Cricetulus griseus: one gene and its partners. The protein of the gene in region 1 purifies or fractionates together with the protein of each later gene. This does not show direct contact. Links are inferred from orthologs where the notes say so. Each region holds a gene or a part of one and is shown on either strand. Other genes may lie near its edges.

Evidence for each region.
Region 2: the proteins of Ints6 (region 1) and Polr2c purify together in Homo sapiens (affinity purification with mass spectrometry; 3 studies listed by BioGRID and IntAct, with this or other methods). This does not show direct contact. The link is inferred for Cricetulus griseus from reciprocal best matches to the Homo sapiens genes INTS6 and POLR2C.
Region 3: the proteins of Ints6 (region 1) and Ppp2r1a purify together in Homo sapiens (affinity purification with mass spectrometry; 4 studies listed by BioGRID and IntAct, with this or other methods). This does not show direct contact. The link is inferred for Cricetulus griseus from reciprocal best matches to the Homo sapiens genes INTS6 and PPP2R1A.
Region 4: the proteins of Ints6 (region 1) and Ppp2cb purify together in Homo sapiens (affinity purification with mass spectrometry; 3 studies listed by BioGRID and IntAct, with this or other methods). This does not show direct contact. The link is inferred for Cricetulus griseus from reciprocal best matches to the Homo sapiens genes INTS6 and PPP2CB.
Region 5: the proteins of Ints6 (region 1) and Ints11 purify together in Homo sapiens (affinity purification with mass spectrometry; 3 studies listed by BioGRID, with this or other methods). This does not show direct contact. The link is inferred for Cricetulus griseus from reciprocal best matches to the Homo sapiens genes INTS6 and INTS11.

The regions. Positions count from the first base shown.
Region 1 is NW_023276807.1:217,769,359-217,776,066, forward strand, and holds the start of Ints6 (integrator complex subunit 6), read right to left. Parts: upstream 4,378-6,708; 5' UTR 3,887-4,377; coding exon 3,776-3,886; intron 3,426-3,775; coding exon 3,348-3,425; intron 2,551-3,347; coding exon 2,401-2,550; intron 1-2,400. UniProt on the Homo sapiens protein: Component of the integrator complex, a multiprotein complex that terminates RNA polymerase II (Pol II) transcription in the promoter-proximal region of genes.
Region 2 is NC_048596.1:171,078,310-171,085,234, reverse strand, and holds the start of Polr2c (DNA-directed RNA polymerase II subunit RPB3), read right to left. Parts: upstream 4,454-6,925; 5' UTR 4,382-4,453; coding exon 4,296-4,381; intron 4,199-4,295; coding exon 4,149-4,198; intron 1,588-4,148; coding exon 1,519-1,587; intron 1,385-1,518; coding exon 1,332-1,384; intron 1-1,331. UniProt on the Homo sapiens protein: Core component of RNA polymerase II (Pol II), a DNA-dependent RNA polymerase which synthesizes mRNA precursors and many functional non-coding RNAs using the four ribonucleoside triphosphates as substrates.
Region 3 is NC_048602.1:19,091,444-19,098,041, forward strand, and holds the start of Ppp2r1a (serine/threonine-protein phosphatase 2A 65 kDa regulatory subunit A alpha isoform), read right to left. Parts: upstream 4,075-6,598; 5' UTR 3,994-4,074; coding exon 3,916-3,993; intron 1-3,915. UniProt on the Homo sapiens protein: The PR65 subunit of protein phosphatase 2A serves as a scaffolding molecule to coordinate the assembly of the catalytic subunit and a variable regulatory B subunit.
Region 4 is NW_023276807.1:51,170,332-51,176,013, reverse strand, and holds the end of Ppp2cb (serine/threonine-protein phosphatase 2A catalytic subunit beta isoform), read left to right. Parts: intron 1-1,420; coding exon 1,421-1,539; intron 1,540-3,214; coding exon 3,215-3,287; 3' UTR 3,288-3,798; downstream 3,799-5,682. Other genes in the region: Ubxn8 (UBX domain-containing protein 8), read right to left, coding at 5,151-5,321.
Region 5 is NC_048595.1:398,226-403,464, forward strand, and holds the end of Ints11 (integrator complex subunit 11), read right to left. Parts: intron 4,964-5,239; coding exon 4,899-4,963; intron 4,416-4,898; coding exon 4,226-4,415; intron 4,080-4,225; coding exon 3,996-4,079; intron 3,545-3,995; coding exon 3,455-3,544; intron 3,376-3,454; coding exon 3,213-3,375; intron 3,127-3,212; coding exon 3,019-3,126; intron 2,936-3,018; coding exon 2,874-2,935; intron 2,790-2,873; coding exon 2,647-2,789; intron 2,578-2,646; coding exon 2,448-2,577; intron 2,350-2,447; coding exon 2,284-2,349; 3' UTR 2,122-2,283; downstream 1-2,121. Other genes in the region: Pusl1 (tRNA pseudouridine synthase-like 1), read left to right, coding at 1-79, 159-329, 1,251-1,305, 1,377-1,539, 1,811-1,824.

The DNA of each region.
Region 1 (6,708 bases):
CAAAGGATCAGTATCATTTCAAACTATTAGCATATGTGGACAAAAAGTTTATCTGCAATAAGCAATTTAATAAGGTGCTGCTTTTAAAGGGAAGGGGTGACTGGGAGGTTCATAGTCATCTCTGACTGTAGAAATATCAGCAAATGGTACTGATTACCAAACATTTAAAAGGACCTTCTACATAGGCAATTTGTTAGTGGAATATCCTAAAGGTGCTTAAGAAAACCAGTCAATCTTTTCTACTCAGCTCTTTCAGCCTTACAATTCTGAGTATCTTACCTAATTAAGAATGCCAAGTTAGTAAATGCAATATGAAAATGTATATGGGAAAAGGTTACTGATGTAAATATACAAATAAATATGTGTGCGTTTAACCCATAGTTAAGAACATAATTTGGAACTATATTAAGATGTATAGATGCTCTTTAGACTAACATGCTGTCTTCCAGATAACCCACCTTTTCTCATTTCCTCTAACTACTGGGACTATATCAAGTATTCCTATTATTCAGCATGCAGTACTTACATACAAAAATACTAAGGTTACAGAACAAAGCTATCCTACAAAGTTCTTTTTCAAATACCCAAATTAATATTCAGGGTTAAATACTTTCAATCATCCAAAATTCCAACATTCATATAAATAGGAAATATCAAATATTTAAGTAAAGAAAAATGTTTTTATGATGAAAAATCCAAAAGCATGTTTTCTTCCAAGTAAAATTAACTCAAAATGTTTCCATTAATTGAGAAATTGTAGCTTCTTAATTACTTTAAGGCTAGTTTCATTATGTACTAATTCAGGATATAAGCAAAAACTATTAACATTGCTTACTGAATCCTGATTCACTAAAATAAATGAGGCATTATCCTTCCTTGTTGTAAGTTAATAAACCCTAATCAGTAAGAACATCCCAATCCCCATATTTTCTTCTCTGATTCCAAGTGATAAAACACAAAAGCTCTGCCTTCAATCTTAAACTTCCTAAAAGAGAAAGTACACAAGTACCCTGGGTCTCCCCATAGTAAACAGTTCTCCTAAAGGACTTTTTGCTATGTTTTAAGTATGTAGTCAAAGGTGGATGTATCCCAATGCCCTTCCCCTTATCAAATGGGACAGAAGAAAATTGGAAATAGTTCTACAACACACAACCTGACAGCAAAATTAAGGAACTAAATAGCAAGTTTCAAATGTCTTTGAACTTGGCAAAGCTTGATTAAAATCTTAAACGATAAAAGAAAATACCACTACATACAACAAAGAAATAAAACTCTTTTACAGAAACAGTCCAACAAGTGGCAAAGCAGCAACAAAAAAGAAAAAATAACGTGTTGATATTAATTAAATGATGGAAATGCATTCAGAAAAGTCTGACTAGTAATGCATACTTTAAATGCTATAGGACTAAATTCCACCATTTTTAAAGGAGGATATGTGTTTAAGAGTTATCCTCAAATGAGGAATATAGCTTGTGAAGTCACAGGAAGAATTTCCCTGAGATGTTCAAAATTCATGAGAACTGTGCATTATGGAACTTGGGAAGAGTATATAACATATATTCCTAAATATAGTATTATGGTAATAGTGCTTTGCATACTGAATTTCTTGGGTGTGATACTACTGGTGTGCAGCAATACATATTCTTTGTTATCTTTTATTTCTAGGATAGCATATCATAAATGGATCATCTCACATTTCCTTGGTAAATGACTGCTGTGACTTAAAGCTCTTGCCTCATCCTCACAAATGAGAGGAACTTTGAGGAGCTTCAGAAAGACAGGCAAGTTTTCATGTTTCCCAGAAAACATTTTCCCAAGGGTTTTGAAATTTTAAACTTTAAAAATTCTCAATCTGTCATTACTTTCAGACTTCCTACTATAGTAACTTCTAATAGTATAGGCCTCAAGAGACATCTGAATGTCAACCAATGACTGCACTACTGACAAATCTCACCTTTGCAAGTATACAATCTAGGTTAAGCTAAACCCTCATCTAACAGTCATGTCTTCCAATGTCTTTACTAATATAGAAGAAACTGCAGTCAACGGGACAGCTGTGACCCACTGCAGTAGTTACATATGTACCTACACGTGGCATAGTTTCAGAGTGGTGTATTCACAGGGTATCTTCCCCTTGATGTCTTTTATGAACTTTGAGGGACTGAAACCAAATTCATGTCAACTTTATAGCCAAGAATTTAGATTCGAAGTCTACAGGGAAATACACTTAAAGGGGAAAATGAGGGAACTCATACACCTTAGGTGTTTTGAACTGTGTGCACACTAAATTTCAACCTTGTTATGTTTTATACTTGCATTTCATGTTGCATACTTTTGGACTGGATTGTGTTTTTGTACACATAAATAAAAACAACTTTTCTACCTTAGTATTCAACCTACCTGCCCATAGTTGTCTATGCCAGTTACTAATCTATTTAAATTTAACAAATCAAAAGCTGTCCTTAGGGATTGGCCAAGAGTCGTAAGTCCTTCTGCCTGAAGGTTTTTCAGTTCATTCATAAACGTTGCATGATTTTCTTTCCATCCAGCCTGAAAAGAAAGATGTAAGAATTTTTTTTATCATTTGAAGCCACAGCACACATGGACACCGATTATAATGTGATGTCCACCAAGCAGGCATTCCACTTCGGGTTTGTATAGTTAACTTCACTTTTGATTGATATGGCTTGGGTCACATGTTATAACTGTTGTCTCTGGGTGAGGAAATCTCTTCCAAAGGTGGCCAAGAATGAACCTGCTTGCCCTACACAGTCTTAATACTTTAATAACTTCACTGGGAAATTCGCTAACATAACATCCTCCAAATTGTGTGTAAGGGGTGGGTGTTGCGAAGGTACTAGTGGAAGGCAGATGGCAGCAGGACTTCTTAAGTTGACCACAGCTGTCCCACCAATCGGTGGCCTTCCTAGTTCCACTCTGTGATGACCAAGTCTCGAAGCCCCCCTCCTGGCTTCCCTGCCAGCTTGGCTGATTCCCTTTTAATGCAAACCCTGGCTAGGCAAGGCTGGGCCCGGCTGTCACTCGGGCTAACTTGAATAAATATCCCCCACAGTTCATTGCTGCCGCTCACGCCGCGGAGGGGAAATGTCGGCCATGTTGATCGTAGCGCCTCCACCGCCAGGCCGAGCCAGACCCGGAGGGGACGGCGGTGGGCCAGAAACTGCCACCGCGCCGGCGCTCCCGAGCTGGGGAGGGGTGGGAGGCCACAGGGGAAGGGACCTGGAGGCGGGAGCCGCGGTGGGGGAGGGGAGCATAATGAAGAGGGGGGCGGGGAGGGCGAGCTAGGAAGGAGCAGGGAAGGGAGGGGGGAGGGCGAGGGCTGTTACCTTGATAGCATAGGGCGGCTCTTCGAAAGTGACCAGCATATACCTGTCTCCTCTGCTGGCAGGGTCCCGGGCACGGAGCTGCGGGCCAGGGTGGGGACGGGAGGGAGAGAAGGAAGCACAGAGGCGAGGTTACCAGTCGCAGAAGGGTCGCTGGCCGCCCCCACAGTACCGTACACACAGGGCCACCACTCCGCCGACCCCCGCACCCACAGTAGCCCCACATGGGCCAGGCCCAGCGGAGCCCGCTCCCAGCTCCCAGCGCCCGCCCGCTCGCCCGCTCGCCCGCCCGCTCGCCCCGCCCGCCCGCACGCCCGCGCGGTGGGAGGGGTCCCCGCGCCCGAGGCGCCCGCAGTAGCCCCGCCGCCCCCCGCCCTGCCCCCCGCGGGCCACCGGGTCGGGGTCGCCGCCGGGGCTCGGTCAGTCGGTACCTTCATGAAGGTCTCTACCGCGCCTTTGGCCGTGTCCAGGTAGGTGGTGCCCAGATGGCTGCGCTGGTTCATAGAGGCAGACGTGTCTATCAGGAACAGTAAGATGGGCATAGTGCTGGCCGGGGACACCGGGGCCCGAGGTGGTGAAGAGATGGCAGAGGTGGAAGCACCGGCGGCGGCGGCGGCGGCGGCAACCGCCGCTACGCGGGGCGGGGAACGCGGCCCCCGGGAGGAAAACACCGGCTGCGGGGAGTTTCTCCCCCGATAGTTGAGAGGAAACTCCCCAGCCCAGGTCCTCCCGGTCGTACCCCTGCCTCCGGCCTGCCTGCCTGCCTGCTGGGGCGGCCGCACGGACGCCTGTCCGTCCGTCCCCCCCGCCTGGGGGTCCCGTCCCCACTCCCGGCCCCTGTGTGTGTCCCCGCGGGAGACGGGCCCAGTTCCCCACCCCACCCCCAGTGCAGGGAGTGGGGACCAGGGATCTGGCGAAGAGGGGACTGGGCTGAGGGGAGATTGGCCCTGGGGCTGTTGGGAGAAGTTTCAGGGACTCCCTCCGCACCCCAGCGGTGTCACCACTTTCTCAGCCCCTCTCGCTACTGAAGCGCTTTTCTCTCTCACTCTCCGGTTTTAACTCGGGCAGGGGCTACGTAGGCTCCGCCCCTGACACGTACTCGTGTCACGTGATGCGCAGGCCCGCAGTTCTACTGGCTGGTCCTTAGAGCCTTATTAGCATATTCAAACAGCTCAGGGGCGGGGGAAGCTTGTAGGCAGACTCAGAGGACAGTTATTGAGCACGCGCGGAGGCGGGGCACCGGGTGCGCGCTAGAGCCAGCGCGAGGGGCGGCCGCAGGTCCCGCAGCCGGGAGGCGGGCTCCGGGAAGGGGCGGGGACACGCCGCGGAAGCGCGGCGGATGGGGGCGGGGACTGGGTCGGCCCGCGCAGGGCGGCAGCGGCTGTGGGCGTGCGTGTCAGGGCGGCCGGCCTTTGGGCTGTGCTCGGTGACAGGGTCGGGAGAGGGGAAGTGGAAGCCGCCCTCAGCCTGTGGGCGAGGGCTCTGCGTCGCGATTGAGAGTGCAGGGCTGAGGAGAGCCAACTGGCCGGGGCTAGGGAACCGCGCAGGCCCTCGCGGCCGTTGCAGGCCGGGCCCCGGGACGGCCCAGGGGGGAGGGGAAGTGAAAGGTTGTTTATGACCTGGTGCTAATCCCCGCCAGTCATTCGGCTCCGGCTGCAGCGAGTCAGAGCACCCACAGAAAGGGAAGCCAGTCCTGGAGTGCCTCCCCCAACCCTGCAAACACGAAGGGGAACTCAAGTATGGACCAGGAAAACAGCGGTCCTCCCCAACCAAGTTCCCCTCTTCCACTCGTGTTTGGGCACTAGAGTATATTAAGAAAAAAAGGAGCTTGCCAGATTCTAATCCACTGCCCTCGTTTTAAAATGGAAAGGATGACCACGTTGCGCAGGTGACCCAGAGAATAGATTTCCCGGAAACCCGCCTTTCAGTCCCTGCCAGTATTGTGTCAGAAAAATTCTCTGCCCATGTCACATTACCTGAAGCCTTCAATCTGCGCCTGCAAGACGTATGAATTGTTCTCAAGTGTAGTTGGAAAACTGCAGGACGCTGCCTGATACACAAGTTGAATTTGGGACATAGAGGCCTGGTTAGACTGTAGGTATTTATAGGGCCTTTCCCACCGGTCCTGCATTTCCGGATTTTCTCTATGCTGAAATTCTGGCCTGCTGGGCAACTGAAGTGGCATGTTTGTGACACTTTTTTTTTTTTTTTAATCTGCCCTTGTTGTTTGGGCTTTTCCTAATATTTCAGAGGGAAAAAAAGAACTCGGAAAGTTTTTAATTTATTAAAAACAAATTATAGCATACTGTTTTGTGGGAATGAACCATAGTAGAGGCATGAGTTTTTTGTTTGTTTTGTTTTGTATTTTGAGACAGGGTGTCTCTGTGTAGCTTTGGAGCCTCTCCTGTCACTCGCTGTGGAGAACAGGCTGACCTCTAACTCACAGAGATCCGCCTGCCTCTAATTCTCCAATGCTGGGATTAAAAGTGTGGTGTGCACCACCAACGCCCGGCGAGGCATGAGATTATTAGAGATTAAGACTATAAAAAAAAAATGATGAACTAACAGCCAGTATCTGCTGCAGACTAGGGCTAGTGGGAATTAATATATGAAAAAATGAGGGCCGGGACTTCAAAGAGTTTGTGGTAGTCTAAGAAAATATAAAGACACTGAAAGCCAGAAAATGATTCTGGAAGAAAAAGAAACCTGTTAAATCGTGGGTGATAGTAGTTTCCAAGGTTTGTGTTTAGTACTTCAAGGATTGATGACAAGTTGTTTTCACTGCCATGCCATTTTTCTTTCCATGTGATTGCATAATTTTTAGAGATTTAATCTCATTTTCTTACCAGGGCCTTTCAGGTATGTGTGAGCCCTGCCTGTCTGAAAACAGACTCCTGTAAGGCCATACAAATGTCTAGTTCCTGTGTGCTGTAGAGTTATACTAGTCCTGTATGAGTTAAAGAAGCAGCAGTTGATGATGAAAGGAGAAGAAAAAAATCAAGCCATTAAAAATGTGAAGGAAGGTAGAACTGCATTGCTGATAGCCACAGCTAGACCGAAGGAAGCACAGCCAAGGTCATCAGGCCCAGGAAGAAGGCCTTCAGTCCAGTGAAAGAAATCTAATCCTCTTTCTTAGATCAGTTTTGTTGGGGGGCACTGAAACAAAAGCATGTTTGCAGGAAATCAAAGGAGCCTGCTGATGTAGCATACATCAGTAACACTGTCCCTTTTACAGTTATTGGAAATCACTTGCCAATAGACCCATGCAGTTCTTCCCTGAGTCAGTGCTGCTGGCAGGTTGTCCTGGAGGTGTGTGGTGGAGACAGATGCAAAGACGGAGGGGAGCCAAGTCCAGAGAACTTAA
Region 2 (6,925 bases), on another chromosome or scaffold:
CGGAGTGGGGAGTCCTCATGTGGCCCAGGCTGGCCTGGAATACACTACATAGCTGAAGATGAACCTTAAACTACAGATCCCCCCATTACTACTTCCCAAGTGCTAGGGTTATACAGGCATTCAGCTAATCTTTACTTCAAAACCTCTTACAGAAAATTTCACCCATATACAAAAACATAGAGGACTGATTGCCACTTATCACATACCCACCTTCCAGCCTCTTAATTATCAACATCTGCCATTCTTTGGGGTGTTTTGTACATTCCTAGACAGGGTATATCTCACTAGGTAGTCTCCTAAATAGTGGGATACAGGCATATAGGATTACAGCACATTGACATGTGCTCAAGTATTTACAGGAGAAAGCTCAGGATGCTTCTAACTTATTTTCTAAAAGGTTAGGGGAAGATAACACTATATAAGAAATGAGGCAAATGTAATAAAACATTAGCATTTGGTAACTACAGAGGGGAAAAAAGGGGGCATTTTATTAACGTTTCTCAGCCAGACATGGTAGTACATGTCTTTAATCCCAGCACTCAGGAGGCAAAGCAGGCAGATCTCTGGGAGTTCAAGGCCAGCCAGGGCTACATAGTGAGACCCTGTCTTAAAAAAAATAATAAATAAATAAACAGGGTTGGAGAGATGGCTCAGAGGTTAAAGAGCACTGACTGCTTTTCCAGAGGTCCTGAGTTCAATTCCCAGCAACCACATGGTGACTCACAACCATCTGCAATGAGATCTGGTGCCCTCTTCTGGCCTGCAGGGATACATGCAGGTGGAACACTGTAATAAATAAATCTTTAAAAAAGATATAGAAAAACAAAACAAAATAACAACAACAAAAACCCACCCTCCAAAAACAAATGTGTTTGGGGAGGCAGGTCTGGAGCACTTGCTGCTCTTGCAGAGGACCTGAGCTCAGTTCCCTGAATCTACATCTAGCAACTCACAATTGCCTGTAACTCTAGCTCCAGGGGCTCCTCCAGGGGCTCTGCTGGCCTCTTTTGACCTTTTCCAGTACCCTAACCCATCTGCACACACAATACAGAAGCAGACATATACACACATAAAAGTGAAAAAGCTATCTTTAAAACGAGAATTATTGGCATTCCAGGGTGTGTCCCCTTCTGTGAGGCACACTGATAAGATGCCTGGATGTGCTGAAAACACATCAGAACCAAAGATCACAGTATTAAGATATCACTTCCACAATGGCTTTCTAAACTATGCTATAGTCAGAACGTAGGAAGAAAGATTTCTGGGAGAACTAGTCAGTCCCTCCTGAACCCCCCTTCCTGTGCCTCCAATCTACCCATCAACACACATACCCGGGAGTACTGCAGCTTGTCCACAATGTCATCACTAGTGAGGGGGATCAATCCTGCAAGACACAGAAAAGTTGTTTTGTAGTACAGCTAAGCCATCACAAGAACCTACAAGTAAGTCCCTCAGGCTGGGAAAGGAGGTACCCCCCCTTTAATCCCTTCCACTTCTCAATGCCCTGCCCAAACTTACCAAGCCTGTGAGCAATGAATTCATCATGAAGGACTGAGGAATTGGCATCAATCTGAACCCAGTCAATGGCTGGAAAAGGCAATCAAACAGCACAAGTGAGACCAACCACCATCTGAGAATCTGACATCCTCCAGCATCTCCAGACATACAGCCCTGTTCTCAAGACTTAAGTATTACTTAGTGATCAGCACTTGGAAGGCAGAGTCAGGCAGAACTCTGTGAATTCTAGGACAACCAGGGCTACAAGAGAAACCTTGTCCTGAAAAAAAAAAAACCAACTAACCAACCAACCAACCAGCCAACCAACCAAACACCCCACCCCACCCCCCCAAAAAAAACCAACCCAACCAACCAACCAAATTTATAAAAGAAAGAAAAGAATCACTGTTTTTAGGGTTGATGGTATCCAGGCCAGGCTGCCACAGACTGCCTCCACAGGGCTAGCTCGAGGTTCAGGCAGCCAATTTAAACAAACCACACACACATACACACCATACCTAACACCGTGCTGCCTCCAGTGAATTGGGTATAGGGCTTACTGGTACCATAAAAATAAACATTCACTTAGAGAGTATTTTAGGAGTGTAATAATTAGGGAATTGAATATTTCCCCAAAGAGCACTTTAAATCTGCTATATTCTGTTACTATCATATCCAAGAACAAAAGCTATTTGGGCACTTAGAAGTTGGGGGAAACATGGGTTGGAGGGATGGCTCAGTGGTTAAGAGGTTCCCAGCACCCATGGCAGGTGGCTCACAACTGCTTGGAACTCCAGCTCCAGGGGAATCTGAGACCCCCTAGTCTCCTCTAGCACCTGCCTCCACCTGCACAGACCCACACACAGAGACATAATTAAAAATAATTTAAAAATTTAAAGTTAGGGAAAACATCATAGAAGCAACACTGCTGTGATCCACATCTCATTTTATGAAATAACCAGATCACCCCTTAGAATTTCAGTGTTACTCTCATCAGTGGCTGTTCACTGAACATCTTCAATAGGAAGCAAATACTAACAATAAAACCCAATCCCTCCCATTTCATTGCTCGCAGAATAAGACTATGTGCTTACAGAGGCTTCACTTAAATATGTACCTAGTCATTCATAAGCAAACACCTGCATGTAAACAATGAAATTCAGAAACCAAATGGTGTTAGAGCCCAGTTCTCAAATAACCGGCATGGACACATGGAAAAGAGGTCAGAAGACCAGACAATGATAGGCTCAACCTGCTCTGCCCTGCAGTACTTCCTCAACCCAAGCAAGGGCACACATCCAAGCTTTCCCATGCCTTTATTCTACCTCCCCACCCTCCCACACCCTGGCAGGTGAAAACTCCTAGCCTCTAAAAACCTTGTGTGTCTACAGATGCTGCCACTCCCTCCTTTTGAGCTCCCTCCCTCCCTTCCTTCCTTCCTTCCTTCCTTCCTTCCTTCCACTGTCTGTCTGTCTCTCTCAAAAAAAAAAAAAAACAAAAAAAAAAAAAAGAAAAAAGAAAACCTGATGAAAACCCCCCAAGACACCTGTCATTTTTTGCCTTGTGTTTGCCCATGTCTTGTCTCTACACCTAGCTTGGAATGTACATGATCTACACATGCAGAGGAAGTAAGAGATCCATTTTTTAAAAAGAGACTTTTTAAAAAGTGGTATTACAAACACACACAGAGTATTATTCAACCATAAAAAAACAAAAGTATGTCATTTGCAGGAAGAAGTCATAAAAATAAACATGCTTTCTCTCATGCGGAATCTCAACTTTTTTAAATTTTTATTTTTATTTATTTTTTGAATCTCAACTTTTAAGAAGGGAGAATTCGGGGCTGGAGAGATGGCTCATAGGTTAAGAGCACTGGTTGTTCTTCCAGAGATCCTGAGTTCAATTCCTAGCAACTACATGGTGGCTCACAACCATCTATAATGAGATCTGGTGCCCTCTTAAGGCCTGCAGGCAGGACACTGTATACATAATAAATAAGTCTTTTAAATAGAGTTCCAGGCTGCGAGATGGATCAGCAGGGTAAAGGCACTTACTTGTCAAGACTTGAGTTCAATCCCTCCCACAAGCTGTACAACCTCCACACATGCATATATACGTAAATAAATATGTTTTAGAGAAGAGAGAGTCAGAGACAAGAAAATATTGCAGGGTACTATCAAGAAGGCCGGGAGACAACAGTAGTAGGGGAATAAAAGGAAAGGATGGGGAAATGAATACAATTCAAGTACTGGGGGGGGGGGGGTCCGTGAAAATGTCCTAACGAAGCCCGTTATTATGTACAATTAACATACGTTTTCAAAAGACACCCAAATCCAACACTGACTTAAAAGTAAAGGCGCGATATCTACACGACTTCGGTAATCCCGGGTATCATCTGTTAACGAGTCCTAGCGTCTACATCCTATGGATAAGGAGGCCGCAGCTCTCAGCTCTTTGGTAGTGCTTAGTCTTAATTTATCTGTTGCTTTCGGGTAGTCAGAACTGTGCTGGGATCCACACTGCCGAGCAAGGCGCGCACCAAGGCTTGCTGGCCCCGGCGGCCCCAGCCCAGCGTGCAGCACCGCAGTGTTCTCAGCCCCCCGCCTGGGGCCGAGGGGCAGCGGCAGGGGCCCCGGGGGAGGGTCGCATACCTATTATGGGCACCTCGGCGATGAAGACCCTCCGAATGGAATTGGCCACCCTACAGGAGGAAAGCCAGACCGTGTGAGCGGCCCCGAAGCCACAGCCCCGCAGGGGGCCAGAGGACCCGCCCGCCCGCCTCTTTCCCGCCGCCTTACGCCAGGTCCGTGTTCTCGATGATGAATTTGACGTTCTCTTCGGTGAGTTCCGTGATCCGCACGGTTGGCTGGTTGGCGTACGGCATTGCGACCCGCAGCCAGTCTCCCGAGCCAGTCCCGCAGCGCGCCTGCGCCGCCACCAGCAATTTGTCGGCGGGGTCCCTGGCGCTTCCGGCTAGGCGTGCGCGCAGCGCCACCTGCTGACCGGAGGCCGAAACTCTCCTGGTCTGCGTTTTCTAACCACACTCTCCAAAATTTCTGCTTCCAAAAAGCACCAGGCCCTACACTCTTGGAATCCCCAAGATATATAGCACAAAGGTCAAAGGTACATGTACAGGGTTATTCATACCAGTGCTACTTACTTGTAATTGCTAAGAATAACTCATTAGGTAATGATGGATGGAGACTTGGTTAAACATACATACATATGGGGCTCAATGGTTAAGAGCACCGGCTGCTTTTCTGTAAGACTTGGATTGGATTCCCAGCGCCCGAATGGCGACTAATGCCTTTAACCCCAGTTTCTGGGGATCTGATGCCCTCTCCTGGCATGAAGGCACGAGGTATGCACATGGTGCACAGACATACATGCAAGCAAGACACCCGTATACATAAATAATTTAAAAAATATTCTATGCCTGTTATTCTTGGATCTGGATGTAAACAGCTCTCAGCTACTTCTCCAGCACCATGCATGCTGCCATGCTCCATGCTGCCATGATGATAATGAACTAAGCCTCTGAAACTATATGAAGCAAGGAGACATTTGACCAGTAGTAAGAGGGCTTCTCTTACTAATGTGAAAGAGAGATGGCAATTTGACACATTTGTTTGAGGGGGCATCTGCTGGTTTCTGGAAGAAGGATCAAGGTTCTAAAGATTCTCAGGGGAACCATGTGAAGATAATACAGTTCTTACCTCTCATCAAAGAAATTTTTCTTTGCAAAGGATGGAGACCATTACAAAAACAAAACATCAAGAACAACAACAACAAAAAAACCCACAACCAGTTAAAATTGCAGAGAACAAGAGACTGTTGTGTGCTCAGTCTCAACTGATACATCTGCAGCTAATTCAACACCCAAGGCTCAGGGATCCTTGAGGAAGGAGGAGTGGAATGACTGTAAGAACCAGAGGAACGTTACGTTTGCCGTGAGATTGTGTCTCCTAGAAATGTTACAAAGGCTACACACATCAAGTCTCACCAACATTACTGCCTAAATGAGGCTTGAACAACGACGCCAATGGACATGTTAACATGGAAGGGAGAGGGATCTCAACCCTACACAAAGAACCGGGGGATGCTGAAAGTGGTAGAAATAACCTTCCTCAGGGAAGAGCCCTGCAATGGGTTATCCAATATAATATCAAAAGCCCCAGGATCATATAAATACAGGTAACATTACAAGAATTGAACAGGTTGTATTCATGTATTAGGAATGTGTGTGTAACAATAATTAACAAAAAACTGGGACATGGATTTGAGAGGTATAAGGAAGGGGCAGGAGGGAAGAAAGGGAAAGGGGAAATGATGTAGTTATATTATCATTTTAAAAATAAAAAACATAAGAATAATTTAAAAACACAGAATACAACGAAACCTTTTAAAAGAATGAGGTTGTGGCTGGGTGGTGGTGGCGTTGGTGGCGCACACCTTTAGTCCCAGCACTAAGGAGGCAGAGGCAGGCAGATCTCTGTGAGTTCAAGACCAGCCTGGTCTGCAAGAGCTAGTCCCAGGACAGCCTCCAAAGCCACAGAGAAACGCTGTCTCGGAAAAAAAAATTAAAAAAAAAAAAAGGATGAGGTGTGCATCTATAGATGAACAAGAGGGCTGAAGAAAGTGACTAAGTGTGTTAAGATGATTTATATTCTAAAATGAGGGGCCAAGTTCAAATCCTCAGATCTCATGTAAAGCAGGGCATGGCAATGCAGCTCTGTAATCTTAGTGCTCCTTTCAGTTGGAAGGTGGAAGTTCTCAGCCAGTTAGATGATGTACAAAGAAAAGTTCTCAGGCCAGTTAGATAATGTACCTCGACACAAACAACAAAAAACCCACACCTGAGCTAACTTTAGCAAGAGTGCTAACACACACACACACACACTTCAGCAAGTGCTGAAACACGCACACGAAAAACAAAACACATGTCTTTTATTACATGTGTGTATGTACACAATGGTTGTCGACACATGTGTGTGAAGTCAAAGAACAATGTTGGAATCAATTCTCTCCTTCCACCATGTGACCCCCTGGGACTGAACTTAGGATGGCAGGCCTGACTGCAAGTGCTCTTACCACTGAGCTGCCTCAAAGGTCCCCAAAGTATACTTCAACAATGCCCATGTGTTGAATGATACACTTTCAATGTACTTCTGAAGTAAAGATATAATGCTCTCCACTTCTACAGATCTGTGTAGTTGCACCTGAAGCATTTAAATGGGCCTCAAAAAAGTGGCTCACACAGAGAAAAGAGGCCCTTAAACAGAACCCTGAAAGAAATGCACTCAGAAGGCAGAAGTTACCAGAGAATAAAGAGTTTGCTGTAACAGGGGTGACATTTCTTCCTGAGGTAGAGGAAGGCATTGACATGGGGGGGGGGGCTGCTCCAAAGCATACACCATCCCAGTGAATT
Region 3 (6,598 bases), on another chromosome or scaffold:
CTGTGATCCCGGACAAGTATGGTTCTTGCATCAGGGGATTTAGGAGGCAATCTCTGAGCTCACAGACTATGCTAAGAATCTGACAGAATGCTATGATGAAAATTGTACCTGACCACAGCAGGACAAGCCTGTGACCCCAGCACTTGAGAGGCTACTGCAGAAACAACATGTGTTCCAGGTCAGCCTGCACTACGAAACAATACCTTACCTCAAAAACAAAAACAAAAAGAACAACATTACCTTGGCTATTGGAGCAATGAAACAACAAAGGAGGCTCCCAATCTCATTTTGGTAGTAAAAAAAATCAGAATAAATGAAGGACTTTAAGTTCGGAAAAACTTATTTAAGGCCTATAAGATATGCAGGGGTCTATGGAAAGGTTAAAAAACCAAATATTGCAAACACTAACAATCCCTAGATGTTGGCAGTAAGTTTGCAGGTGCTGCTGATATCCTGGCATTATGCTGACCCCGCCCCCTGACACCAGGGAGGGTAGCATACCTGCGTTCAGGCAGACATTTAGAAAGCTCAAAGGGCCCTCCATTGCATGGCTGTGTTAGGACTCTGTACACAGGTGCAAGCGTTCCCTTTTAAGCAAGTGCTTCCCACCTGTTCCCCCCTTTTCATTTCCGCACCTAGTCCCCTTGATCTCCTCCCCAATAAGCTCCACATGGGTTTTGTTGAGTTTTGTGGTTGTAGGTGCTCAGTGCACTGCTGAGTACCCAGCAAAATTGTTATTTAAATTGCCAGTAAATGTTCCCAGCTTCACAGGCCACTCACTGTTGCTGAACCACTGAACTTGAACTCGAAGCACAGCAACAGCCATGGGAAGGAGACATTATGTAAATAAACTGGCCTGGCTTGTATTCCAGCAAAACCTCACTTGCAAAAGCTGGCAGTGGCTGGATATGGTCCAAGCCTGTATTTTGCTGACCTGTGCACTAGCTTTCCAATGTTCTTGCCTCAATTTTTACAATGAAATTCTACAGGGATGGCTGTCCTAGCAGCCTGCTTCCTTTCCCCCCTTTGTGTTTAAGGCATGCAGATGTTTGTGCTCATCTCCCAGGTGGACGATGGGAAATGCATGGGCCACAACTGGGGAACAGCAGCCCTGAGAACAATGGATGGTATCACGGAGCAGATGCAATCACAGTCATAATTTTAATGCCACTAATAACAGCACATAACATCTACAGATTGCTCCCTGTGTAGTAACACACTCGACACTCTGCTTTGAGGTTTTGTTCCAGAAATGCCATTTTAAAAAGCAAGGATGCTGATGCAGACACTTTATGGAAAGCAATGAACCCCCAACCAGAAACTAAGCATTAGCCAGGCAGTGGTGGCGCATGCCTTTAATCCCAACACTTGGGAGGCAAAGGCAGGCAGATCTTTGTGAGTTCCAGTCCAGGCTGGTCTGCAGAGCGAGTTCCAGGACAGGCTCCAGAGCTACAGAGAAACCCTGCCTCAAAAAACCAAATATGCATAAGAATTGGGATCCTAAATATGGCGCTTCCCTGCCACCTGTGGGCAGCTGTTCTTTCACTCAAAAATTTTGATTTTGTTAACAATGTCCTTTTTTTTCCCCCCCAGAAAGATGGCACTGTGAATGCTGAAGAAGAGGCAGAAAGCTGTGAGGCCATGTGGCTTGAATTCAAAGCTAGGCTGTTATCAATCAGCTGCCAGATCTTAGGTCATGTTCACCCAGTGAGACTTATGACAGACTTCTCATCTCCAGAACCATAAATAAAACTTTATGCTGCTCTATACTATTAAATTTATGGTAAAGTGTTACAGAAGCCTTACAAAACTGGCACAATGACCTAAACTAACCAACTTCCTTACTATCCCTGGGTGCATATTTCATCCAAGAGCTTCCCTCAACCTTAGTACCAATGTCTTTAAATGGGACTTTTTTTCTTCCATGAGGGATGGCCTATACACAACAACAATGTATAACAGCATTCCTGACGCATACCCATTAAAAGCAGCAACAATCTCCCAGTTATGACAACCAAAACATCCCTAGACATTGCTAAACATCCCTGGTGGCAAAAATAGCTTCAAGCTGAGGACTACAGTCATTGCACAGGTATAGTCCCTCTTTCTGTAAGCCTCACCCCCAACTTCTCAAGCATTGCATCCTGGAAGGAGTCTCTGAACTGGTCCAATTCCTCGACCAACATTTAGATGTTATGCACTCTGCCCAGAACCCCACAATTCCTTCCTTGACCACAAGCAGGTACCGGCTCAACTTTTCAACAAGACTTCTCCACACTTACTCTAACAATACACCCTATATTCCTTATTTTTCTCTTTACAACCTTTCACAGTCAACACAATCTGCCACTCCTCACTACAAGGTAGATTCTTCCAAGGCCAGTTTTTGTCCTTTTCCTCCCAGATGTACCCAAACACCCAGAGCACAGCTCAGAACACAGGCCCAACAAACAACTGCTGATTCATTATCGCAACACCGACAGGTCTCGTCCCTTTTCACAGGTGGTAGTATATTTATTTAGTTCTCTTTACCTGTTTCACACCTGGCTCCTGGGCAGCAACCAGCCTGTTTCTTTGTTGATACAACAGAGTGTGTCACTATGTGGACTAGGCTAGCCTTGAACCTACCACCCCTGCTTCCTGAGTGCTGAGATTGCAGGCATGCACCACGACGCCTGCCCCCAACAATGACATTCCTGGTAACACCGCATGTGTTTACTCGACACTAAAACCAGGTTGCTATTCCCATTTAACCGAAGAGATTCACACTGGGTTGCCTGGGTCAATCAGCAAAACGTGCAAGGCCCGGAAATACAGCTCCAGCCTGTCTGGCAGCAGAACCTGAATCATATCCACGAGACTTAGAGGCTGGGCGCAGCCTCAGGTTACCCAGTGCACCACCAGGAGAAACAGGGGCACCGCCGCAGAGCACGGTACCACAACAAGCCACTCCCCTCAAATATAACAGCTAACATTTACGGGGCCTTTACAAGCGGCCAGTTTTATTTTACTACCTCTCCTCAGCCACCGGGGTAAGCCAGGACTATTATTAGCCGGTATTTGGTAGAAAACGGAAGCCAGGGGCGATGGAACAACGTGAACACAAGGTCATCCTCAGGCCTTGAGGTCTGACCTCTCTCTCTCTCTCTCTCTTTTTTTTTTTCAGAACCACAGCAGACCCACTAAAAGCCCCTGGGCCTGGGTCACTCTTCTCCCGCCAACCTGAACTATCACCTCCCTTGGCAAAAAGTCCGGCCTGGGGCGAGCCTGGGGAAGGGGGTGTGGGGTGGGGTGGCGTGTGCACACGTGACCCGTCCCTGAATTAGGCTAGTCGAATTTCGGGAGAGGAGGATGCCTTTCCACGTCCTCCTCTCCCCTCCTCCTGCATCAATACGAGGCGGAGGCCCGAGAGGAGTGGGCTGCTGCCCTGGTTATCAGCACCCCTGGGGCCCAGGATGGAAAACACCGAGGAGCAATGGGGAAATCGAGGTCCCCAGCACCCAGGAGGGCTTCCCCTCCTCGGCGGCTCACGCGCCCCCCCGGGTGGGGGGGGGGTCATTCCGAGTCCGCCGCCGCCAATCACCCGACGGGCCGCCGGCCCCAGGCTCCCTGCCCCAGCCCATCTCGGGCCGCCGGGCACAGATTTCCCCGGGCGGCCGCGCGCGCCCAGGAGGGACCCTCGAGGCTTGCCCTCCGCTGGGGCCCACGGCCAATCAGGAGCGCCGTCTCATGGAGTCTCGCCCCTCGGCACGATGAGACGCGGCTGCTGATTGGCCGCCGCTGCCTTCCGCCACTCCCGGAGCAGCCGGAGCCATCTCTCTGTCTCCCCGTCCGTCCCGCATTCCGCCGCCGCCCCGCAGGTCCCCGGTCTCCCCCCCACGACCCAGCTCTAAGGGCAGGGCGCCCCGGGCGCACCTGGACGTCCTCATTGCGGAGCTCGTCTATGAGCACCGCGATGGGGTAGAGCGAGTCGTCGCCGTCGGCAGCTGCCATCTTGGCTCCCCGGCGTCTCCGTCAAGCTGCGGCCAGCGCCGGGCGGAATCCAGGATCGGGCGGGGCGGCGCCGTGTTGGGCGGGGGAGCGGGTGGGGAGAGAGAAGGACGCGAGAGGGCGTGGGGGCTCCCGGGCCACGCTACAGGGGCCGTCCCACCCCCATTGGCCGCCCCGGGTCGCGTCTGTTTGGTCCACACCAACCAAGTCCCGCCTACCTCCCACGCTCCATTGGTCGGGGCGAAGCGGGCTGGGCTTTCCGCCGGGCGATCGGAAGCGGAAGTGGGGCGTCTTAGCGACCGAAATTGTGCCCGCCTCGCGTTACCGCTGGCAACCGCGGAAACGAGCGGGGCTCTGAGCCAATGAGGAGCGAGGGTGGGAGGTGCGGGGGGCGGGGGTGCGGCTCTGCGGGGCGGTGCGGAGAGAGCGTAAGGTGGGGTGTGGAGAGCGGTGAGTGACGTAGTGGAGGACAGGCTGGTCGGGGCGGACTGGGCGAGCCCTTGCTATCCGGCTGAGGAACATGTAGTTCTTTGGTTAGAAGTCAGCGAGCCGGAAGGTATTTGCGGGTGTACGCCCAGCGCTGGGACCCCCCCCACCCCCGCCCCCTTACCGGCTCCTATGAATTCTCACAGTCACGTCCCCTTAAGACTGAAAAATGCACGTTTGAGAGGGAGCAAGGTGCAGGGTTGGCTGCAGCCTTGTGAAGATTATCTTCTCTTAGCGACCCATGGTTATTTTTGTAATTTTTTTTTAAATTTGCTTTTCCCTTCCCTGCCTCCCCCCTCCCTCTTCTCAGAATAGAGAGACAATTAAAACAGAAAACGCCCTTCCGGAGAGAGTGGGCATTGGTAATCCGTGATGTGCCTTGGGATCCAAGTGTGTCTCTGTCTGGCCCTGAGTGGAGGCACGAGAACTGGGAAGCCCGGGGGAGGTATGGAGAGGTGGCCCCTAACGCTGCTGTGTGGACGAGGCGTCCCTCCCGAGTTGAATGATCTGTGTAGAAACCTCTCCCCTTTCCTGTGTCGTCTCCCTTCGTATCTAGCGATGCTTTTCCAGTCTCTCCTCTTGAACTGTCTTGGGTTAGACATTTTAGGAAATCCTGGATGCCTTTATAGTCACAAGATGGGGTGGGGGCGCGTAAGTTGTGTTTGTTACTACCAGAGGATAACCGGTACTGGGCTTGTCAGGGGTTAGTGTGAATAGGCGTTTTTAGATGTCGATGAGTTCTTACTGGCATGCTTAATCAATTTATGTAAATCGTGAGAATCCGAATTAAAAACTGAGGTTTTCACTTAGCAGTATTTTGATTTTCTGTTTGTACTCCTTATCTCTTCTGCTGAAAATCCTTAATTTCTAGTGACATTGATATAAAGATAGATCTGAATTTGGGGACATATGTGTCACAAATACATAATTATATATGATTAACGATTATATTTTAGGATATTATTACATTTAGAAACTATATGTTAAACAGTTATGCCATGGTCTGCCCCGGCCAGGGGGGCTCCGGTAATTCGTGGGTTCGAGGTGGACCAAGCCTGAAAATAATGGTCGAGAAAGAAGAAGCGAGACCAAGCAGTGGTCTTGTCAAGGTCTAAATTTTATTGATAATAATGGGATTTTTAAAGAGAAAGGAGGAAGCAGAGAAAGAGGAAGTGGGGGGAGGAATAAATGTCAATTGCTCTCCGGCCAGGGCAGGTGTCTCCTGTCCAAGCCTCTGTAAAGAAGGACTTTTTATATTTGACCGGAGCTGGCTCCTGACAATGGTCAACACACCTGGGCATTTCAGGGTCCTGGAAAGAAGGTGATGGGAGACAGAGACACAAGAGCCTGGGTTCACTTCCAGAATGAGCAATTCTTATTTTTTTTCCCCATTGCTGTTTATATGTTGTTTAACTAGCACCTGGAGATTGCAAGCCGAGTTTGAGAAACAGTCTCTTTGGCTGAATCATCTGAATTCTTTCTTTCCCATTTCCCTGCCCTTGACTTCTTTTGCCCCAGTGCACATTCCTCCTAGGCTTTATCTCATGCCTACAGTTTTTCAGTCAGGAGACCACATCTCTGTCAGGGTTCATGCTTGAGAAAGGAATTGAAGACCATCTGGACCCAACAAAATATATACAATGAGTAATGGAAATGTATGTTATATAATTGCAGGCTCTGCGTATTAGGTAGAAAGCATATGATTAGTACTTTCAAGTGGTCAGTAGAATTATTAGTCAGCCTCCCAGTTCTAGCTTAACACGTTTATGTTTTGTTTTGCTTTTGAGACAGAATTTCATAGTGTACCTCTTGTTGGCCTGGAACTCACTGTGTAGATAGGGTTGGACGAACTCACAGAAATATGCCTCCCAAGTACATGTACCACCACACCCAGCTATGTGTTCTTGGTTCTTCTGTCCTTAAGAAAAGTCCCACTTGAGGGCTGGGGCTGTAGCTCAGTGGTAGAATGCTTGCTTAGGATACACAATGCCCTAGTTTCAGTACAAAAAAGAAAAGGGTAGTGGAGAAAGAAAAAAAAGAATATTTTAATATATATATATGCAAAGATTTATTTTTTATCTTTATTCCTGTGTATGTATATGATACATGCGTGCAGGTGCCC
Region 4 (5,682 bases), about 170 Mb from region 1:
GGTATACTCCTACCTAAATACCCAAGTCAGATTATTGTAACATCCAGGTTTACAAGTAATTCTTCAGATTTTCTTGATGTAATCTTGATGGTTTGAAATGACCAGAGTTTTATTAAGAAATAGCTTTCTAAATCTGGGCATGGTCGGTGCTTGTAGTCCCAATATTTAGAAGGCAAGGGGGGTCATGAGTTTCAGTCCAGTCTAGGATATATAAGGAGACATTGTTAAATAAAGTTCCCTTGAGAGGGGCTGGAGAGATGGTTCAGCAGTTAAGAGAGCATACTGCTCTCCCAGAGACTCCTCGGTAGAGACTTGACTAATGTTCCTTACGATTATGGAGTTATTATATGCATGTTTGAGTTGCATGCTCTCAAGTGATGTGTCTTTGGTGCATTGTATCAAGGAGATTTGAAATCTGTGCCCTGCCAGTTTTATAAACTGGTCACTTAGTTGAGGTGGTAGCTGCAGCAGCTCCTATTGTTAGTATTGTTAATATTGGTGGAACAAAAGAGAACGAAATCCCTCTAAACTAGCAAGGAATGACTTTAAGGAGGTGGGAACAAACTTCACCAGCCCAGAACAGTCAAGGAGCAGTGTAGGAGCATGATTATGAACACAGCATTGTAGTGCCATTAAACCTCATTATAATTATATAATCATAAATGTCAATGATGACTGGATACATTTTAAATATAATGACAAAGACTTACTTTCCTAAAAGTCAGAGACTTTGAAATTAGAAGATTATCAAATTTCAGTTATTATGAGATAAAACTAAAACATACTTAAAATATCACAAATTAAAGAATGGAAATGGTATGTTGTGAATCAAGTAGATAATTACCAAACATAGCCCTTGACGTGAGTGAGGAGTCTGGTGCGGGTGACCATTAGATTATCCAGGCCATTACTGATGAGCATTGGCTCAGCTCTCCCATGAAAGCTTACCCAAGTTGCTGTTTGCCCAATACTAGCTTCAAGATTTCTGTAGCAAACTTTGGAAGGCAGGCACTTTCTATCATGTCTCGGCACTTGGGACCCTAGGGCAATTATAAATTTGAGAATACTGTGACCAAATGGCAAAATTCTTTCTCAAAAGAAAAGAACAACAACAACAAAAAAAAGGCACGCATACACGGTAAGTAAGCAAATAAATAAAGTGCTTGGCAGAGTTTATGAGGAAAAATGAGATTACCATCTTTGTCTGAAAAGTTCAGTGTATACCTTAAGCTAAGATCTCAGTGGTTACTGAGATCTATAGACTCTTGTACCTAATAATTGTCCAGTATTCTGAGCAGGTACAGAAACTGTTGATCACAGGAGATAACATGATTCCGTAGCCACAGAAGTACTTAGGATTTGAGTTCTGTGTCAAGATTGAATTTAATGATGAAACAATGACCTTTTCTTACTGTTGCAGGGATATAATTGGTGCCATGATCGGAATGTGGTTACCATTTTTAGTGCACCCAATTACTGCTACCGCTGTGGGAACCAGGCTGCTATCATGGAATTAGATGACACTTTAAAATATTCTTTGTAAGTAACTGTACATTTTAATTTATGTAATCACTTTAGAGGGAAAAGGTAACTGGTAAAAAACAGTTAGGGGCTGGAAAGATGGCTCAGCAGCTCTGAGCCCTTACTACAGTCATGAGAACTGAAGTTCAGATCCCACAAAGACCTGTAACTCCAGCTCCAAGGGATCCAACACCCTCTTCTGGCCTCTAAAGATACATGTACATGTGTGCACAGAGTCATATACACACGTGCACGCATGAATAAAATTAATCTTCTTGGAATGAAAACCGTGAAAGAGTTCTGTTCATCGTAAAAATTGTTTTCTTTTGATATGCTGGGCATGCAACCATGGCCTCATTCATACATGCCAGTTCATTGCTATGCCACTGAGCTATACAGCCCAGAAAAGGGTTTTAATTATTTACAGTTCATTGAAATTTTCCCAAGAGCTTATAGGTAATGGAAAAACATTTAACCTTAAGAGAACCATAAGCCAGGTGCAGTAGTACACATACTTAATCCCAGCACTCAGGAGGCAGAGGTTGAGACCAGTCTGGTCTAAGCAGTGAGTTCCAGGACAGCCAGGGAGTACATACAGATACCTTGTCTCAGAAAAACAAACTAACAAGACAGAGAAACCTGTCCATTATAACTACTAGAGGCTTGCATCCCTTACTCACACATTATTCTAACAAAAACAACTATAGTGGAGCTGGAGAGATTGTTCAGTGGTTAAGAACACTAGCTGAGTTCAATTCCCAGCAACCACATGGTGGCTCACAGCCATCTGTAATGAGATCTGGTGCCCTCTTCTGGTATGCAGACAGAACACAGTATACATAATAAATAAATCTTTTTGGGGGGAAGAAAAAAAGAGACTACTTAGGGTACAGGAGTGATGCAAGTTAAATTCCCAGCACCTACATGGCTGTTCACAACCATCTGTAATTCCAAGGGTTCCATCTTCTGACATCTATTTAGTTAGTTAGTTAGTTATTTAGTTAGTTATTGGTTTTTCGAGACAGGGTTTCTCTGTGGCTTTGGAGGCTGCCCTGGAATTAGCTCTTGTAGACCAGGCTGGTCTCGAACTCACAGAGATCCGCCTGCCTCTGCCTCCCAAGTGCTGGGATTAAAGGGGTGCGCCACCACCGCCTGGCTCTTCTGACATCTTTGATCACTGGCAATCATAGCACAAAATTTTAGAAGAAGCTTAAAGTAATAAAACATGTACTACTGGGGGATGTGGCTCCACTGGCCCCTGCTTACCTAGCATACCCCACAAAATGAACCCCCCCCCAAAAAAAAAAAAGAAACAGATAACAGACAAAAAAGGCACTTGATAAAATTCAGTGTGCTTTAAATAAAATCAGTAAGCTACACAGAAGGAAACTTGCTGTGCCTGTAGACAAATACTCACCCTGATTTAGCCAGGTGGTGGTGAGAGACAGCACTGACCCAAAGGCCCTTAAATTGATAATAGTGTCACAAGTATTTTCTGCCAGGCACTAACAACCATGTTACCTAACTTTTCACCATAACTCTGTGAAGTAATATAATTTATCACAGGTAGTGACATGCTCAGAGTTATTCCAGCCACATGGAATGTAGTAGCAGAAGAATACAGAAAGGATGGCTTTGTCTAGTGAGTGTCTTAGTGGCTTAGCTGCTGATTCAATTTCTTTGTCATTTATAGTCTTCAGTTTGACCCAGCACCTCGTCGTGGAGAGCCTCATGTGACCCGGCGTACCCCAGACTACTTCCTGTAAATTCTTCCCCAGGACCTTTCTTTGTATGTGGAAGTATACCTGGCTTTTTAATATATATATATATATATATGTGTGTGTTATATATATATATATATTTAAAAACAAGTCATCTGTGTGTTTCTGTAACAAATTGTGATATGTCTTGACATTAAACTACATCATGGACCAAACGTGCCATACTAATGATGAGCGTTTAGCACAATTTGAGACTGAACTTACTACACTGTGTTCTAGATCAGTCTGCCTGCTGTGTTGTAGGAACCATTCTTCTTGGCTGGTTAAGCAAAAAGGGGTCACTGACTGCTTCATCTCCTTTGCACTTGGAAATTTAGTTACAGTGTTTAACTGGCATGGATTAATAGAGTCGGAGTTTTATTTTTAAGATTTCACAACCTGACTTCCACTTAATTCATTACCCTGTATTTTATTGAAATGTGTAACTAACTGAAGAAGAGATTCTTGGGAGTATGTTGTCATAACATTAAAGAGATTTCCTTTCATTTAAACTAAATTACTGTTTGATGTTGATCTGCATTATTTCTGTATATTTGTCATGACAGTGCTTGCATCCTATTTGGTGTACTGAACAAATAAACTTTCCAATTTAAACAAAAATATTTTAGCTGTGATATGCATTAAGTGGAAGCATCACCATTTTAAAACTTGATACAAATACTTAAGACTGTGGTTATTTGTTTTCCATTTACTTTGGATTTTAAGATGGTCATGTATAGTCCCAAATGACCTTAAACTCCTGGGTTCCCCTGGCTCTACCTCCCAAGTGCTAGGATTACAGGTGTAGGACACCTTGCTGAACCACAATTATCTGATGTGTAATAAAAATAAGCAGCTGTACTGACAGGATTTACATGGTAAGCTTAGGGGCTGGGGATTAACTCTGGTAAGGTGCTCATTTATATTCATTTCCAAGTTACATGCACACATGCAAGTGCACACACACACAAGTAATGCTTGTTTATAGTTTACATTTAGAAGCAGAACAAAGTCAAGTATTTGCTGATAACTTTAGGCCATTAAAAAATCCATTTTCACATTCCTAAACATTTCATTGGGTGGTCTGTATTAACTTATTCTTTTGGGTAGGAGTGGGGAGGGTTGAGACAGCGTTTGTCTATAGCCTTGGCTGTCCTGGAACTTGCTCTGTAGATCAGGCTGGCCTCAAATTCACAGAGACCCACCTGCCTCTGCCTCCCAAGTACTGGGAGAGAGAGTTCCAGGACAGCCAGGGCTGTTACACAGAGAAATCCTATCTCCAAAAACAAAAAAAGATAAAGATATCTTAAGACAGACTCTAAGGGTATCAGTACATACAAAAAAACAACAGCTCACACCCCAAATGTACTTGCTTACTGTAGTTTCAATATGCTCCCCAAAGATCATGTTTCAAAAACTTTGTTCCCAGATTTAAGTCAAAAGTACATAGGATTAGTCCACTCTGAAATTTCTTTAAAGTCTTTTAACTTTTTAGAAATACAGTGGTATCAACATTCCTACTTAAAGATTTTGAGTTGTAAAATACTGTGGTAAGGTGGATTCAAGAAGCAGAAATCACAGTTCTTATATAAGGTGAGAATTGGTTTGTTTTAAGATGGTCTGACTCAAAAATTCCAGGAAGCATGTTTCACCAAGCCTGGCTGAGACCTGATATCAGGTGTCTGTCTTACTACATCTTTTTTACCTTGTTCTCACTTTGGTACAATGTAAGATGACATAGTCCTCTTCCATTGTATGTAGGTGTGCTCCTATGAACAAGAAGAGTTCAAGGTACAGCATGGCTTTAATGTGAACACTGCCCTGTGAGGTCACATGTACTGACTTTAAGGACAACAGGTAGTTCTGACTTTACTGGCCACTCTGTTCTTTCTCTTCCACGTTAAGTACCGTATCCACAGTTATTCCTATGTCCTCCAGTGACAAGCCTCCCTCTGTCTCCAGAGGCCTCCTGGGAAAGGAAGTGGAAAGACTATATATGGATTTGTGGTACCCAATCTTCATCATCCAGTCAAGTAAGACCTAGAAGATAAAAAAGGCTTTAGTATCAGACTAAAGGTTCTCCAGAGTCTCTTACTGTGACACTGTACAGCTGTGTCATTCTGAAATTGTGTCCCAAGGAATGAAAAGTGATTTCCACATCTTTCAAAGAAATTTTCTAGACTTTAAAGGAGAGTGGTAAGTCATGAATTTGGTGATATGAATAACCTTTAATGCCTTTCTTCCAGAGAAAGTATAGGCCTACTAGCATAGTAGTAACAAAGTCTCATCCATAAGTAGGGTATGGAAAATATTCAATGAAATGTGGAGAACAAAAAACATTTGGAAACAGATATTTGGATCAAAATCTAAGCCAGCAGAACACATCAAAATCATGAAGGAG
Region 5 (5,239 bases), on another chromosome or scaffold:
ACCGTCTGGCCACAGGCTGTCGCTGGCCTGATCAGCTGCCTGTGTTTGAACAAAATGTATGCTGGGCTCTGCAGACAAAGTGAGTGAACTAAGAATGGGGAGAAAAGGCTCACCATCCATCTGGCTGGGCCCTCCTCAGTGCTTAATTGGCTCTGCAGGTCCCTGGATGTGGCTGCCATGCAGGAGGCTGCCCAGCACCTCATCGGGACACACGATTTCAGTGCTTTCCAGTCTGCTGGCAGCCCAGCCACAAGTACTGTGCGAACACTACGAAGGGTCTCTGTGTCTTCTGGTCCAGCCAGCCCATTTGCCCTCCCCCAGGAAAGCAGGTGAGAAGAGTGGCCTTACGCTGGTCTAGAGGCAGCCAGAGTTAAATTAGTTCTCATAATCCATAAAAGTGGAATGATGCCCCAGGCATGGTAGTGTACACCTTTGATCCCAACACTTGGTGGGCAGAGGCAGGGGATCCCTGTGATTTTGAAGCCAACCTCATTTACAGAGTAGTTCCAGGACAGCCAAGGCTACACAGAGAAACAAGAAACCCTGCCTGTCTTGAAAGCCAAATCAAAACAACAATGTGGGATAATGCTAAACTGATATACACTGGTCATCCATAAGGCCTGGAGGGTGGAAGGTGCTGGCCACTTTAAAGGTATGAGCCAGTATTTGTGCCTTCTTCCAGCTGGGGAGCACAGAGTAGAGAATGTTGCCTTTCTGAGGGCCTTGCCATACCCATAGCTCTTTGTAGCAGATGGGTTTGGCAGTCACTGAAAAGGTTTCATTGGAGCTAGTGGTTCCAGTCCAGTTTGGCAGACTGGCAGTTCTCTGCACTGTCTAGTGGACTTCCCACTGGGAACCAGCTACTGACCTTGAGCACGTTGCAGCTGATATCAAGTTCCTAGGGGAGGAGGGCTTCAATGTAGCTAGGCACAAAAGTACATGGCCAGGGTTCCATCTTGATAGGTGAGCTGGCTATGTCCATTTCAGCACCCATACTGTGACCCCTCCACGTAAAGGAAGGCTCAAAGCAATTGTTATCCCCTGTGCACAGGCACACTCTGTTGTTTTCTGAGACAGCATATATAGACTCCAGGAAAAGTTATGCAATACCCACTCACCCTCTGGAACTGGTGGTCAGCTAGGCAAGAACCTACCCTGGATAGATGAGCATTTAAATCTGTCTTGTCTGAGGCCACATGGGTGGCTGGGGCTGCCTGTAGCTTGGACATCAAAATTATCTGTGTTTCTAGGAGACTGCAGTTCTGGACGTTGGAGTTTGAAAGCCAGTCTTTCCTATATCGACAGGTAGGCTGTACTAGACCCTCCCAGGGTGCGCTCAGGTAAATACCTGTGACTATCTCAGCTCTCTGCTGTAGGTACGGAGGATGACAGCTGTGCTGGTGGCTGTGGGACAAGGGATTCTGACACCCACAGAGGTAAAAGCGATTCTGGATAGTCAAGATCCCCTGGGAAAGTATCAGGCTCGAGTTGCCCCAGCCCGTGGCCTGTTTTTGAAGTCGGTGCTATATGATGACTTTGGTAAGAGGGGTGGGATACGAAACAGCTGGGCCCTCACTGAGGGGAGGGGGCTTTTGGAGGCAATCAAACCCCCCATTATACCAGATGAGAATCCAAACACCTAGTGGGGAAGCCAGTGACAGTGGGAAAAGGACTTCAGTTAGGTAGGATCAGTGATCAAAAGCATGGTGGCATGGATTGAGTGATCCATGGGTTCAGATTTTAGGGGGTATGTGGGGGTCTCTGGATGCAACCGTAGGAAGAGTTCTACTGACCTAGGGTCTCTCCATAGGACCAACATCCTGAGCCCTGTAAGGTCCAGTGTGAAACCAGCTAACTTGTACACTCAGTGGAGGTGAAGAGCCACACGGCACACTAAGTGGCTGTCAGCCTTGTCCAACACTTACTGCACTCCGCAAAGATTAATCCACAGCTATGTGGGGTCTAACAGCCCTGCCTACCTTCCAGCAGCTCCCACCTCCCCAGTCTTTCCACTGTGGCCATCCCTTTGTCACTAAAGGATGGGGTACCAAGCAGGAAACAGAGCCTCTGGTCCTGCTTTTCTGGGAGCCCCATCTTGGGGCAAAGTAGGAATAAAATGCATAAAGAACAAAAAGACCTGTTTATTACTTTAACCAGTCTGTGTGACTCTGGCCCAATACAGTGTCCATTTACTCAGGGCACCCACCTCCCAAAGCCAAAATCCTGATCCTTCTGCTGAGCAAACAGCAAGAGACAGAGTGGTGGGTTGCTGGTGGTTACATGTCAGCTGGGTGCCTGGGGAAGGCCATTTTTGAGCAGTGCTGTGAGAAAGCTTCCCAGCTCTTCATCCTACAAGGAAAGAGGGAAGCTCAGTTACCCACAGACAATATAATACCAAGGAAATGAGGTCTCCAGGCATACATACCACTGATGCCCATCCTCCTTACCTGGTAGGTCCAGGAGACCAGTAGTACCTTAGTACCAGGGTCCTCCGAGTGGGCAGCAGCCTGGATAAGAATGGACTCCACAGTCACAGAGCCATCAGGGAGATGCTGTACACAGTGGTCCTTGAGGGTACTGTGGAAAGGCATAGTAAGATCCCTGCCTCACCTTGCCTGTAGGGGTGGGAGCAAAGCCAAAGCGCACCTTTTGAGGTGGCTGTACACACGGAGGGCTGTTTCTTGCTCCTTGCGTGTGTCCTGCAGGTGCACCCGACAAGTGAAACGCAGTTGATGCTCAGCCAGGCCCAACTCCTTAAGGGCTTGCTCTGAGGATACCAGCCGGAAACTCTGTAGGGCAAGGGCAAGCAGCAGGTCAGGGGAAGTAATGAATGTTATAAACTATCCCCACTCCGTCACTCTTTACACACTTACACTGTCTTTCATAACCAGTGTGCCATGCAAGAGCCGAGGTTTTTTGGCCTCAGGGAGCAGTCCTATGAGGAAAGGAGCCCTGAAGTCAATACGAGCCACCAATAACCTGCCTCCCTCAGCCCGCGCCCCAGGCTGCCCTTCATACCCTGCACCATCTCCCGCTTCAGCAGCCCCAGGGAGATGCCCACAGGGATGCTGGGGCTGGTGGGCAGCGTCACTGTCTCACCATTGGCTGGCATGTAGCAGCTGACCCCTGAGAAAGTGATACAGAGCTTCAGTCTAGGCTGCCAGCCTGGCCTGTACCATCCCACAGGCCATCCCTGCCCACCAGTTGCCTACGGAATTCCTGTTCGATCTTCTGCCTCAAGAACTCCATCTTCTTGGCCTCGCCATGCACCAGCAGCACACTCTCCGGCTCTGCTTGTCCCACCAGTTGCATGATGCCCTTGGCATCAGCATGGGCACTAAATGACATGTATTCCACTTGCATCTTTACCTCCAGCTGTGGTGTCACAAGATGCAGACTTAGCAGCAGCAAGAGGCTGGAAGCCCTGCTGAGCCCAGGACAGAAAGGTACTCACCACCTGACGCCCCTCCATCTCCAGCTTCCGTTGCCCACTAAGGATCTTGTGGCCCACAGTGCCTTGCACACAGTAGCCAGGCATGATGACCTGAAAGCATAGGTGAGGTTCAGCTACAGAGCCTCCTAATGTAGACACTTGTTCTTGGGGCAACCCCTGACCTGAATCCTCAGGAGGCTAAGAGCCTATCTGGGCTACTGGTGGCAGAACACAGTAATAGCAGAGTCATCATGGGGTCAACACACAGAAAGTTCAAGGGCCAGTCCTTTTGTACTCCAGTTTCCTAAGACTATAACGAGCCCCTGTAGAATAGGAAATTGGGGGCTGGAGAGATGGCTCAGAGGTTAAGAGCACTGCTCTTCCAGAGGTCATGAGTTCAATTCCCAGCAACCACATGGTGGCTCACAACCATCCGTTATGAGATCTGGTGCCCTCTTCTGGTGTGCAGATATACATGGAAGCAGAATGGTGTACACATAATAAATAAATAAAATCTTAAAAAAAAAAAAAAAAGAATTGGAAATTGGCTTCAAACCCTCACCATGTTCTTCTCGTTTCCTGCCCACTTTCGGAAGATCTGCAGAGATTGGCCAGCATGAAGCATTCCAGGTGTGGCAAACACAACCTGCAGGGTTGACAAGGGTCAGGAGAGTAGACTTTACCCAGGGCTGCAATAAGCACCAGACCTTTGGTCAGCAGTCTTTCCCAGAGCTCCACGGGCAGGGATCCTTGAAGGCCAGGTGTACAGAAGCTGCATTGCCAGGGCCTTACCATGGGACCTGGGTTGTCAGCAAATGTCCGGTCAAAGGCTTTGATGTGCTTGAACTCAAACATGTTCCTCTGGACAAATGTCTTGCGGATCTTCTGGTTGGTCCAGGTGATGAAGAGCTTATAGTAGTGGTTGGCCTTCTCTGTCAGGCCCGTAGAGAAGTAGATGGGCACCTTCAGGTTCATGCGTTCCCTGTGTGTCCACCAGCCCAGTCAGTGCAGGGAGGCCAGAGTTAGCTTGCAACATGTGGCCCTATGCCCTCTACTGCACTACTTAGTAGCTATGGCCACAGCAGAGTTCAATATCCCTTGAACTGAACCCCATGCTGTCTCCTTATGACCACTGGGCCAGACCTCTCAGCTTGTGTCCTATAAAACAAACATGGGAGTGACAGGGGTCCCTAGAGTTCATATGAGGAGACTCAGCATTCATGCAGTGACCCATACAGCCAGCAGATAATGGTTCAAATGTGATATCCCAACACATGGACAGCTCCACCAAGACAGCAGGGCCAATGGTACTGTATCCTGGACACAAAGTACCTAGTGGTAGTCATTGTGGCCTTGACTTCTCAACAGTTCTGCTGTGACTGGCATTGTGAGGAACTTACTCTCCTACACAGAGGCTTTTCCATCCTTTCCTGCCCACTTGTGGAATATTCCTGTTTGTACCTACCAGAAGGTCTCCAGCAGGATGCAGAGCTCTTGTGCCCGGCCCAGCGCAAATACAGGGATCAGCACCTGATGGTAGGTGAGGCTGATTCAGGTGGGAGCCACTGGCCACACTACCTTTCCCTGAACACAGCAGGTAGCAAGATGTTTGCTATACTCTTGCAGGCAGGTAGAATGATAACATTCAGAGATAGCATTACTGCAAAGGAATAGCCAGACATCTAAGAACTACAGGGCTTTTTGTATATACCCCTGTAGAGATAGCAGGAACTGTGGGAGGCTCTTGAACAGCCCCTTCATGGGAGGAAAGCACGAGGGAAAGGAAGACTCTCTGGAATCCATCTC